Linked DNA regions of Arabidopsis thaliana. The protein of the gene in region 1 interacts with the protein of each later gene in a pairwise test. Each region holds a gene or a part of one and is shown in the gene's direction. Other genes may lie near its edges.

What was found.
Region 2: the proteins of LIP1 (region 1) and HSF A4A interact in binary tests that used the Arabidopsis thaliana proteins (3 or more experiments, as listed by UniProt).

The regions. Positions count from the first base shown.
Region 1 is NC_003076.8:25,908,067-25,913,679, forward strand, and holds LIP1 (Ras-related small GTP-binding family protein), read left to right. Parts: upstream 1-1,948; 5' UTR 1,949-2,057; intron 2,058-2,071; exon of another isoform or gene 2,072-2,165; 5' UTR 2,166-2,680; exon of another isoform or gene 2,681-2,764; 5' UTR 2,765-2,769; coding exon 2,770-2,863; intron 2,864-3,214; coding exon 3,215-3,306; intron 3,307-3,386; coding exon 3,387-3,528; intron 3,529-3,606; coding exon 3,607-3,914; intron 3,915-4,004; coding exon 4,005-4,058; intron 4,059-4,147; coding exon 4,148-4,281; intron 4,282-4,354; coding exon 4,355-4,559; 3' UTR 4,560-4,830; downstream 4,831-5,613. Other genes in the region: WRKY51 (WRKY DNA-binding protein 51), read left to right, coding at 349-590, 698-844, 1,426-1,621; AT5G64816 (thionin-like protein), read left to right, coding at 5,421-5,613. UniProt on the Arabidopsis thaliana protein: Functional small GTPase that acts as a negative factor controlling the light-dependent period shortening of circadian rhythms and light-induced phase resetting during the subjective night. May protect the clock from excessive or mistimed light.
Region 2 is NC_003075.7:10,346,957-10,352,036, reverse strand, and holds HSF A4A (heat shock transcription factor A4A), read left to right. Parts: upstream 1-2,134; 5' UTR 2,135-2,985; coding exon 2,986-3,207; intron 3,208-3,284; coding exon 3,285-4,268; 3' UTR 4,269-4,558; downstream 4,559-5,080. Other genes in the region: AT4G18870 (E2F/DP family winged-helix DNA-binding domain-containing protein), read right to left, coding at 4,810-5,070. UniProt on the Arabidopsis thaliana protein: Transcriptional activator that specifically binds DNA sequence 5'-AGAAnnTTCT-3' known as heat shock promoter elements (HSE).

The DNA.
Region 1 (5,613 bases):
ACTTTAAGTGGAAGCTCACTTTTCGCCACCCTTATTAACGTCTGTCCATACGTCATAACAGATGACGTCATCATCATATTCCTTTTTTCACACGTGGCATTGAAGCACCTTCCTAGTATCTACCCTGAAATTGCTTGACATAAGTAGTAGTTGTTTAATAATCTTTATCTCTTAATTATCCTCTTTTCTTAACAAAAACTTGTTACAATAATTTTCATTTTTATATAAATAACTGACCATTATAACTCTTTCTCTTCTCTTCTTCACTTGCTCTAGTTCTTGGATGCTTTAAACCTCTCTCTCTCTCTCTCTCAATTATTTTTTTTTCTATTTCAAAAACAAAAAAAAATGAATATCTCTCAAAACCCTAGCCCTAATTTTACGTACTTCTCCGATGAAAACTTTATTAATCCGTTTATGGATAACAACGATTTCTCAAATTTGATGTTCTTTGACATAGATGAAGGAGGTAACAATGGATTAATCGAGGAAGAGATCTCATCTCCGACAAGCATCGTTTCGTCGGAGACATTTACCGGGGAAAGCGGCGGATCCGGCAGCGCAACAACGTTGAGTAAAAAGGAATCAACGTGAGTTCCTTTTTAATTATTATTGTTGGCAAGATTCTTAACCAAGCAATTAGTATTTCATTATATATAGTTTTATTCATTAATCTTTTTGATAATAAATATTGTAGTAATAGAGGAAGTAAAGAGAGTGATCAGACGAAGGAGACGGGTCATCGAGTTGCATTTAGAACGAGATCGAAGATTGATGTGATGGATGATGGTTTTAAATGGAGGAAGTATGGCAAGAAATCTGTCAAAAACAACATTAACAAGAGGTAACTTATTCATTTACAAATTACTCATTTGATCTAATTAATATGTTTTACTAGTACTTGTTTTTAACATAACATATGGTTGCTTGATAATTTTCTATAACCATCTTGTAATCCTGTTGTTATAGAATATATAGCCACTAGCTAGCTAGACCATATAGTGATTTGAATACTATTTAATGGACCCGTATTATCTACCAACCCACTTGGAATAAAATTTAGCTTCTATATACATCATGCATGTGTGTTTTGTTTATACAAATATATAAAAGGTTCCTATAGCAAAATTGATTGATTAGTGGTATATGGATCAATGAATCCATGGTTGATAATCAGTCATCGTATAGATTTATTTTGACTCATATATCATAAGAGAAACAAATATAATGAATTCATCATCTAAACATATCACTTTCATTCAAAGCATGGTTTGAAAGCAATTTACACACTCTGTAATTGGTTAATGATATTCTTATATATATACATACATATATATATATATATATATATATATATAACTTGGTGCGATATATTATAAAAGTGATTACAATTTAACATGTGGTGGATGAATTTATAATATAAAGGAATTACTACAAATGCTCAAGTGAAGGTTGCTCGGTGAAGAAGAGGGTAGAGAGAGATGGTGACGATGCAGCTTATGTAATTACAACATATGAAGGAGTCCATAACCATGAGAGTCTCTCTAATGTCTATTACAATGAAATGGTTTTATCTTATGATCATGATAACTGGAACCAACACTCTCTTCTTCGATCTTAATCCAAATCTCTCATCCTCGTTGAGATTGTAAGATACCAACAATATTAATATTATAATCTCAATGCTTTGTATAATTTGATAGGTGTATAATAAAGGAGTTACTTATTTCGTGGTTATAAATGTTTAATGTATGTATATTGCTATGAGTACATTTTGTAGGTCACTGACTCACTAGATATAAAATCTTAAGCGTATATTTATTTAAAAAGTAGTGTTGAATTTTTTTGGGTCACGGTTGTCCAAAATACTGCGATCTGAATCCAATCCTTATTTGATTAGACTCAAGAATGATTTAGAAAAACCTGAATTACTTGTATTCTTATATCCATTATTAAACCGACATTTGACCCGAAATGCGTCAGACTAAGATTGTACCGGGAAGGAAATGTGAAAAAAGCAACTTGTAAAAAAAGCCTGTGTGACAGCTCTGTAACTTGTAAGCGTCAACGAGGTCAACTGTTTCGGTTTAGTTGTTACCGGTAATTTGGTTTATAATGGATTTTGATCGGTGTGATTTATGATCCGGTTTTGGTGCGTTGTGTAGATTGTCCCGAACCGATCTCATCTTCTACCTTTCAACAACTTAAGCAAGGAAACGAAGTCGTTTCATATCTGTTCTTCCGCCCAAATCTCAAACACTAGTAAGTAAATTCGAAGGGAGTCTTGGATCTCTCTGATCTCGATCCAGATTCTCTCTACTTCTCTTATCTTCGATAGAGAAATTTGTATCTTCAGATTTATTCGAGGAGGAAGACGAACCCTACTTGATTGATTTAGGAGGTGGAGAGATCTTTCTGAACAAGTTTGATTCTGTTGGTAATTGATCTGAAATCCTAGGTTTTAGCCGTAGATCTGCTGCTTGTTTCGATCGATTTGGGATACCGTAGGTATTGATTCCATAGAATTTCTCGCTCGAGGAAGGTGAAGAATCTGCCCAGATTCCGGAGATTTTTAGTTAGTCTTGGTGTGCTTGTTGCTTCGGTAATGTTAGATCATAAAAGTCTTCCATTGTGAGGAATCGGAGGTTGCTAAGAGTGTTTGTGGAAGCTGCTTCTTCTGGTATTGGATTAGAATCGGGACTATGGAAGTTGATTGAAACAGTGTTAGTTTTCTTATTTTGATACCTAATCTGCTCTTGTTAAGCAAAAATGAAGTTTTGGAGGGAACGTGAAAGGGAAAATAAGGAGCAGATCTTAGCGCCATTATGTGGGCAAGTTCGAGTGTTGGTAGTTGGTGACTCAGGTACTATAACAAGTTATAGTTTCATGTAGATCGTTAGATTTGATTACCTATTTTATGGTATCAAACCAAGTTAGAAATGTTACCATTCTTTTGTAGTTTTGCTGAATCGGGGTACTTCTGCTAAACCTAGATCATGTGTGACTCAGGAAGATAGATTCTCTGCACTGAATTAGACCATTTGGTTAGGAGTTATTGTTATGTGGTCGTTGAGCTACATCTTTTAGATCAAACCTGAGACTCTAGTTTGTTTAGTCGACAGTGTTTTCCTTAGAGTCTGTCACGTACTGTGTTTGCTTTTGCTCATGATAATTGAGTTAATTTTCATCTCTGAATTTCAAATCTTTTTGGTAGGTGTTGGAAAAACATCACTTGTACACCTCATCAACAAAGGTTCTTCTATTGTTCGCCCACCTCAAACGATTGGATGCACTGTTGGTGTCAAGGTAACTTAAACGTCTCTGTTGTTCTTCAAATGGTTAGGGAACTCAAGTTTCAACCCTTTTTTATTCTTCTCACATTTCAGCACATAACCTACGGGAGTCCAGCTAGTTCTTCAAGTAGCATTCAAGGTGACTCAGAGAGAGATTTCTTTGTTGAACTCTGGGATGTATCAGGGCATGAGAGATACAAAGATTGCCGGTCACTGTTCTATTCACAAATCAATGGTCTCTCCCAACCTATCCACATTGTTGATCCTTATTGTGTCTGAAACAATGTCATAAAGCGAGACATTTCCTATGCAGGAGTTATTTTTGTTCACGATCTCTCTCAAAGAAGAACAAAAACGAGCTTGCAGAAATGGGCATCTGAGGTTGCAGCGACTGGGACTTTTTCAGCTCCTCTTCCCTCGGGAGGTCCCGGTGGTCTTCCTGTTCCATACATTGTAGTTGGCAACAAAGCAGATATTGCTGCAAAAGAAGGAACAAAAGGAAGCAGTGGAAATCTTGTTGATGCAGCTCGTCATTGGGTTGAGAAGCAAGGTTTGCTTCCTTCTTCAAGTGAGGATCTCCCTCTCTTTGAAAGCTTTCCTGGTAATGGCGGTCTCATAGCGGTAAGTAAACCATATTAGTAAGTATTAGCTTCTGTATTAGTATTTAGTGGGTGCTTTTGATTATATGATCTAATGTGGGTTTTTACATAGGCTGCCAAAGAAACCAGATACGATAAGGAAGCTTTGAACAAATTTTTCCGGATGGTTAGTGTCATTACCACACCTTTCTTTTCTTGTCAGATTTCTAAGACACCCTTCCCTAACCGAGAAGAACATTTTCGGAACTTTTACAGTTGATAAGAAGAAGATATTTCTCAGATGAACTGCCAGCAGCTTCACCATGGTCTATTTCGCCGGTTCCAACGTCATCATCGCAACGGTTAGACGAGATTACAAGTGATGATGATCAATTTTACAAGCGAACAAGGTAACAACAATGCTAAAAAGCCAAGTCTTTTTCCTTCTTTGTTGGGTTTGGTCTTTACGGTTGATTGTTGCAGTTTCCATGGAGATCCATACAAGTACAACAACACAATACCACCACTTCCAGCACAACGCAACCTAACTCCGCCTCCCACGCTCTATCCGCAACAACCAGTGTCCACCCCTGATAACTACACCATTCCGAGATACTCTCTTTCCAGTGTACAAGAAACAACCAACAATGGCAGTGCCAGGTCAAAGCGAATGGATATTAACGTCTGAAGTCTCTCATCTCTTGTTAGCTCTTCTCATTCCAAGAAAACTTTATGTTGCTTTTGGATCTCTATTATTCTTTTTGATTCTTCTTTGTAGGTTGGTAAAGTGAATATGTGTGCTTAACCCCTCTTTGATTTGTACATTGTGGGGTTTGATCTTATAGCAAATTCTTTGAATGTTTTTTTTTCTTGGGTTATCATGTATTACACACTGAATGATTACAAAATCACAATAATGTTTGTTATTTTTGTTTACAATCTAATCATATCAGTTTGTATAAATTTCATGTTATTTATGTTTCAAAATCTTCTTCCACATTACAATTATGATAAATTGGAATATTAATTAATTTGAAATAAACCATTTATTCCTTGGAATTAAATGGAGATAGAGTTACAGAGGTACGACAACTTCAGTTCATAGCATCGAGAGAAGGCAAGGAAGGTATGTAACTTTTTCTTGCCCTCGTAGTTCCATTTTCATTGAAACTTCTTCTCTTTGAACCCTCTGGATTCTAGGCTACTACAATCAGCTGAAAAAAACCCTAATTCAGTCTCTCTTTCTCGTCGTGCAAAAACCCTAAACCCTGGGAATTGTGAGATCGATCTCATGTTTCAGTAACTTGTTAAATCTGTACCTCTTTCTGTTGATTTAGATTTAGATTTCTGTTTTCAATTCCGTTTCTGTTCCGAAATTGTTCAAGGTGAAAAATTCAACCTCAAAGGAAAGGTTGGATTTTTAATTTCAATTACGACGATATCAGATTGTTATCTTCCTTAAAAATTCAACCTTTGTTTTGAACTTGTGTTCCAGATCAATTTTGTTTGCAATGCGCAGTGTAAAATTCAAGTCTTAAAGAAGAGAAAAATGGTGGAGGTGTGGTGGTCACTGATAGGAGCAGCAGTGCCTGCACTAATTGCTGGTCAAGCTTGGAGGATAAAGAAGAGACATGGCGAAGAAGAGAGGATCAAGAGTGCTCGAGGAAGAGAGAAAAGCTCTGATGAAATCTTTGTCTGTGAAAGAGTTTGCACTTCCAAAAGAATGCTGAAAAAAGTTGGAG
Region 2 (5,080 bases), on another chromosome or scaffold:
ACTTGTCATTGCTCGTGACTCCTTTGCTCTTTTTCATTAATTACTTTTTAGTCTTAAAGGCATCTCCAACCATAACACTATTTTGGTGCTGAAATAACACTATATTTGGTGTAGATTCAACACTAAAATATTTTCAATCTCCAACCACAACACTATATATCACACTAAAAATAATATTTTCTATTATTATATTATTAAACCAAATATTATTTTTAATATTTAATATTTTTAATTTATTGATTAATACAAATTACAATCTATATATCAAAATAGCTTTAAATTTTGTAAGTTTATATTTTCAATGGTTAATTGAATTTTATTATGTAATTTCAATAAATCTTTTGTTATAATTTTTATATCTTCTACTGATTAATATTTCATAATCATATTATCAAAATTAAAAATACATAAATAGTTTTGATATTTTTTTTTTTTACTTACAAAATTCAATTAAATTATTAGATGACAATACAAATCATATTTAATATGCTATACCTAAATAAGCTATATTCATATGTAATAATTTTAAAGTAAAAAAAAATATATATTTAATTTTACCGTTGCTACAGTAGCACGCCAAATATAGTGGAGTACTGTACAAAATAAAGGAATCACACTATTATAGTGTAATATTTACAGTTGGGTTGGAGTGAAAAAGTATATTGCATCACATCAAAATACAGTTTTACCGTTACGTTGGAGATGGCCTAAGTATAGTAATTAGAATAAGTATGCTTTTTTTGTGTGTGTGACAACAATTAGAATAAGTATGCTATTCTTTGACATTTATACCATCTGTTACCCAACCAATAAAAATATTCGTACCACTGCTAAATAGAACACATCTTTGATTCCAAGTTTCTTATAACGTACAACACAATTTGTGTGTTTGTCTACACATGCCTTTTATTATCCGACACTAATAAATATTTTGTAGTAGTACTATCCACATTCCACACTTGCCTTTATCTCTATATATTTGTGTAGTACTATCAACATTCCACACTTGCCTTATTCTCTCTATATATGGTGTACTTAAGTATATATATCAACTAACACACGTTGTGTAATATGTCTAATTTTGTGTTTATATGACTTCAATAACACTACAAGTTAACGAAGGACTCAATTCGTCCTACTCCGACCACAATAGTTGGGACCCAAATTAGTTGAAACAATATATTTCATCTTTATCAAAGTAATTTTTAAATTCCATGTAGAAGTTATTCACAACCAATAATAAACCACATTATATGTTACAAATTTTAACATTTTTATACGTATTTGCGATTACATGTAGGTTATCTACAATTTTTGGTTATCTATGATTTCTATAATGTAATTAGGTTATTGATCCTTTTTTTTTTACTGTGTCTTAGTCTTACTGGATGTGAATACTATAGCAGAATTAATTTTAATTTAAAACATTTTAAATTGATTTTTGGTATTGGAATATTGTAATATAGCGTTGACGGGGACAGTGAACTAAGCACATACGTGTGCATTTTTCTTTAAAGAAATATCAATATTGTGCAACGATCGAACCGGATTAATACCACAATGTTCTTTTACCTCAAACAGTAGTGAATTAATGTTGGACATGAATTTAGAAATCCCGTTTCAATAGCATTTGAATAAGCTAAGTAGTGATCTTACACTAACATATATTAATAAGCTAAGCACTTTAATATTTCAGGTTTGATCCGACTTTTTCTTGCACTAACGATACTGCCTTAATTCAATCTTTGTTTACGTATGCACATCAAAATTATTTAAAAAAAACATTCAGATGTTCGACAGAAAAAAAAACCCCAAAAGAAAAAACTAAAGGAGGCATGATATTTACCAAATGCCAAACACAATTGAATATCCTTCAAAACAAGACTTTTCGATTTCGTGTCCTCCAAATAAAAATCAAAGACTTTTCTTTAGTTTATAAACCCCAAAAAGAGATCAACAACGAATTTTCTTACGGCCATAAATGCTTCTACATTAACAAACAAACAAGATCTCTATGCTTATATTCATTGACTATTCACATTTTTATATAATTGAAAGAAATAAACTTTATGCCAAAAACAGCTCTATCATTATCTCATGGGGTGATTTTGATAATAATAAAATAATAAAACATTCCACCAAACCCAATCTTTGTAAAACTATGAAACAGCTGTTCTGTTCTGATTCGTACTTGCTTCATCAACCTTTTTGTAATCAAAAGCTAAATCGTATAATCACAAATCCCTCAGAAACTGTTCGTTTTTTGTTATCGTTTACGCGTTTTTAATCGCTAATCAGTTATATAAAAAATCGACGAAAGGTTTGACGAATCGTCGTCGTCGTAAATCCCCACCGGGTCAATCGACTCGTTTACTTTTCTACGGTCTTCTCTCCTCAAAGAGTCTCTCTCTCTCTCTCTGATATTTCCGCAGCAATAATGGTATAGATAGAGATACAGAAGCAGACAAATTATTGCTGCTTGAAATTCTCTTGTCTGATTAAAATATATATACCCAAGTCCAGAAGCTGTTTAGGTTCGAGAAGCAGAGAGGGTTCGAGAAGCTAATAAGGGTTTCTTCTTTTTGATTTTAATGCTAAAAGGGTTCTAGATTCGTTGAATTTTACAAGGGTTTTAGGGGTTCTTAGAAGCTTTTGCTTGATTGTCTTTTATTTAGAAACAGTGGTGAGTTTTTAGTCTTTCACTTTGTTCAAGTTCGAAGCTTTTTTTGGAGGGAATTTTGGGCTTCTGATTTTGATCGAAACTTACTGATAGTAAGTTCTTTGAGTCCTCCTTAACTGTAGTTTCTGTGTACTGAAGTTATTGAATTGAAAGTTTTTATCTTTTTTGGTTATTGAAACTTTCATAGTTTGATCAAAAGAGTCTCTTGCTCTGTTTTTGGCTCTGTTTTTGTGAGTGTGATTGTAAGCTTTGTTGTGAGTAGATTGAATCAAGGAGTGTGAGAGTTGTTAAAAGTGTTTTCAGAGATGGATGAGAATAATCATGGAGTTTCATCAAGCTCACTTCCACCTTTCCTCACCAAAACATATGAGATGGTTGATGATTCTTCATCCGATTCTATCGTCTCTTGGAGTCAGAGCAATAAGAGTTTCATCGTTTGGAATCCGCCGGAGTTTTCTAGAGATCTTCTTCCGAGATTCTTCAAGCACAATAACTTCTCTAGCTTTATCCGCCAGCTTAACACATATGTAAGTGTTTTCATGCTTTGTTTAAAAGTATTGACTAAATCAATCATCTTCTTAGTGGAATTTGTTTTTGTGTGTAGGGTTTTAGAAAAGCTGATCCTGAGCAATGGGAATTTGCGAATGATGATTTTGTGAGAGGTCAACCTCATCTTATGAAGAACATTCATAGACGCAAACCAGTTCATAGCCACTCTTTACCGAATCTTCAAGCTCAGTTAAACCCGTTGACGGATTCAGAACGAGTGAGAATGAATAATCAGATTGAGAGATTGACAAAAGAGAAAGAAGGATTGCTTGAAGAGTTACATAAACAAGACGAGGAACGAGAAGTGTTTGAGATGCAAGTGAAAGAACTTAAAGAACGATTACAACACATGGAGAAGCGTCAGAAAACAATGGTTTCGTTTGTTTCTCAAGTATTGGAAAAGCCAGGGCTTGCTTTGAACCTATCGCCGTGTGTTCCCGAAACAAACGAGAGGAAAAGAAGGTTCCCTAGGATCGAGTTCTTTCCCGATGAACCGATGTTGGAAGAGAACAAAACTTGTGTTGTTGTGAGAGAGGAAGGTTCTACAAGCCCTTCTTCACACACAAGAGAGCATCAAGTGGAACAGTTAGAGTCATCGATAGCGATTTGGGAGAATCTTGTATCGGATTCTTGTGAGAGTATGTTACAATCAAGAAGTATGATGACACTTGATGTGGATGAATCATCTACTTTTCCAGAGAGCCCTCCTCTTTCTTGCATACAGTTAAGTGTCGATTCACGTCTCAAATCTCCTCCTTCTCCAAGGATCATCGATATGAACTGTGAGCCCGATGGTTCGAAAGAACAGAACACTGTTGCTGCTCCTCCTCCTCCTCCAGTAGCAGGAGCGAATGATGGCTTCTGGCAGCAGTTTTTCTCAGAGAATCCTGGCTCAACCGAGCAACGGGAAGTTCAATTAGAGAGGAAAGACGATAAAGATAAAGCCGGAGTACGTACTGAGAAATGTTGGTGGAATTCGAGAAATGTTAATGCAATTACAGAACAGCTTGGACATCTGACTTCTTCAGAGAGAAGTTGATATGTCAAAGATTAAATTTCTAGTCTGTTTTAGTTACTTGTAAAATAGGGTTTCTCAGTTTTATTGTTTTCGATTACAGTACTTAGGTATGGTTCAGCTGTTTATTTATCACTTGTATGATCTTTCACAGTTCATTGTAGCAGACTTCAATGGTAATGATAAGCTAGAGCTTATGGATAGTATTCATAAAATGAGATTGACCTTCAACAAAATCATAATTTCCAAAGTCCTATATGATGTTGTAGACTTTTATCAGTATACCATTCAATAATTTATGAAGAACACGTCGGAAACAAACAAAGAAAAAAAAAGAAAAGTTACAAGAGACTTATAACGAGTACTATGCCAAATCAAAGAATAATTATTACATCCTTTTTAAGGGATTTTACAGAAAGCAGAAAGCCAAAGAAGCAACTGTTGCACAAACAAAAACATTAAACATAATCTCAAAGAAAACTAATAAATACAAACTTTAATGGTAATGACAAGCTAGAGCTTCTTATGGATATTATTCATAAAATAAGATTGACCTCCAACAAACTCATAATTTGCAGAGTCGAACCTCTTGTTCCTTTACTTCCTTGGCCTTCTTCATTTTCTTTCTCATATCCGACATTTCCTCAATTTGCAACTTAAACAATTCTCCTGCCTCCGCCATTTTTTTCTCTCTGGCATCCTGTTTACGTAGTTGATCATTCTTCTTTTTATCATTGCTTATAATGATTTCCACAAGGTGACGTTGACCCCGGACAAAATTATCATTTGCAAATTCCCATTTCTTTGGATTAATTTTTTTGAAACCCTATAGAAAA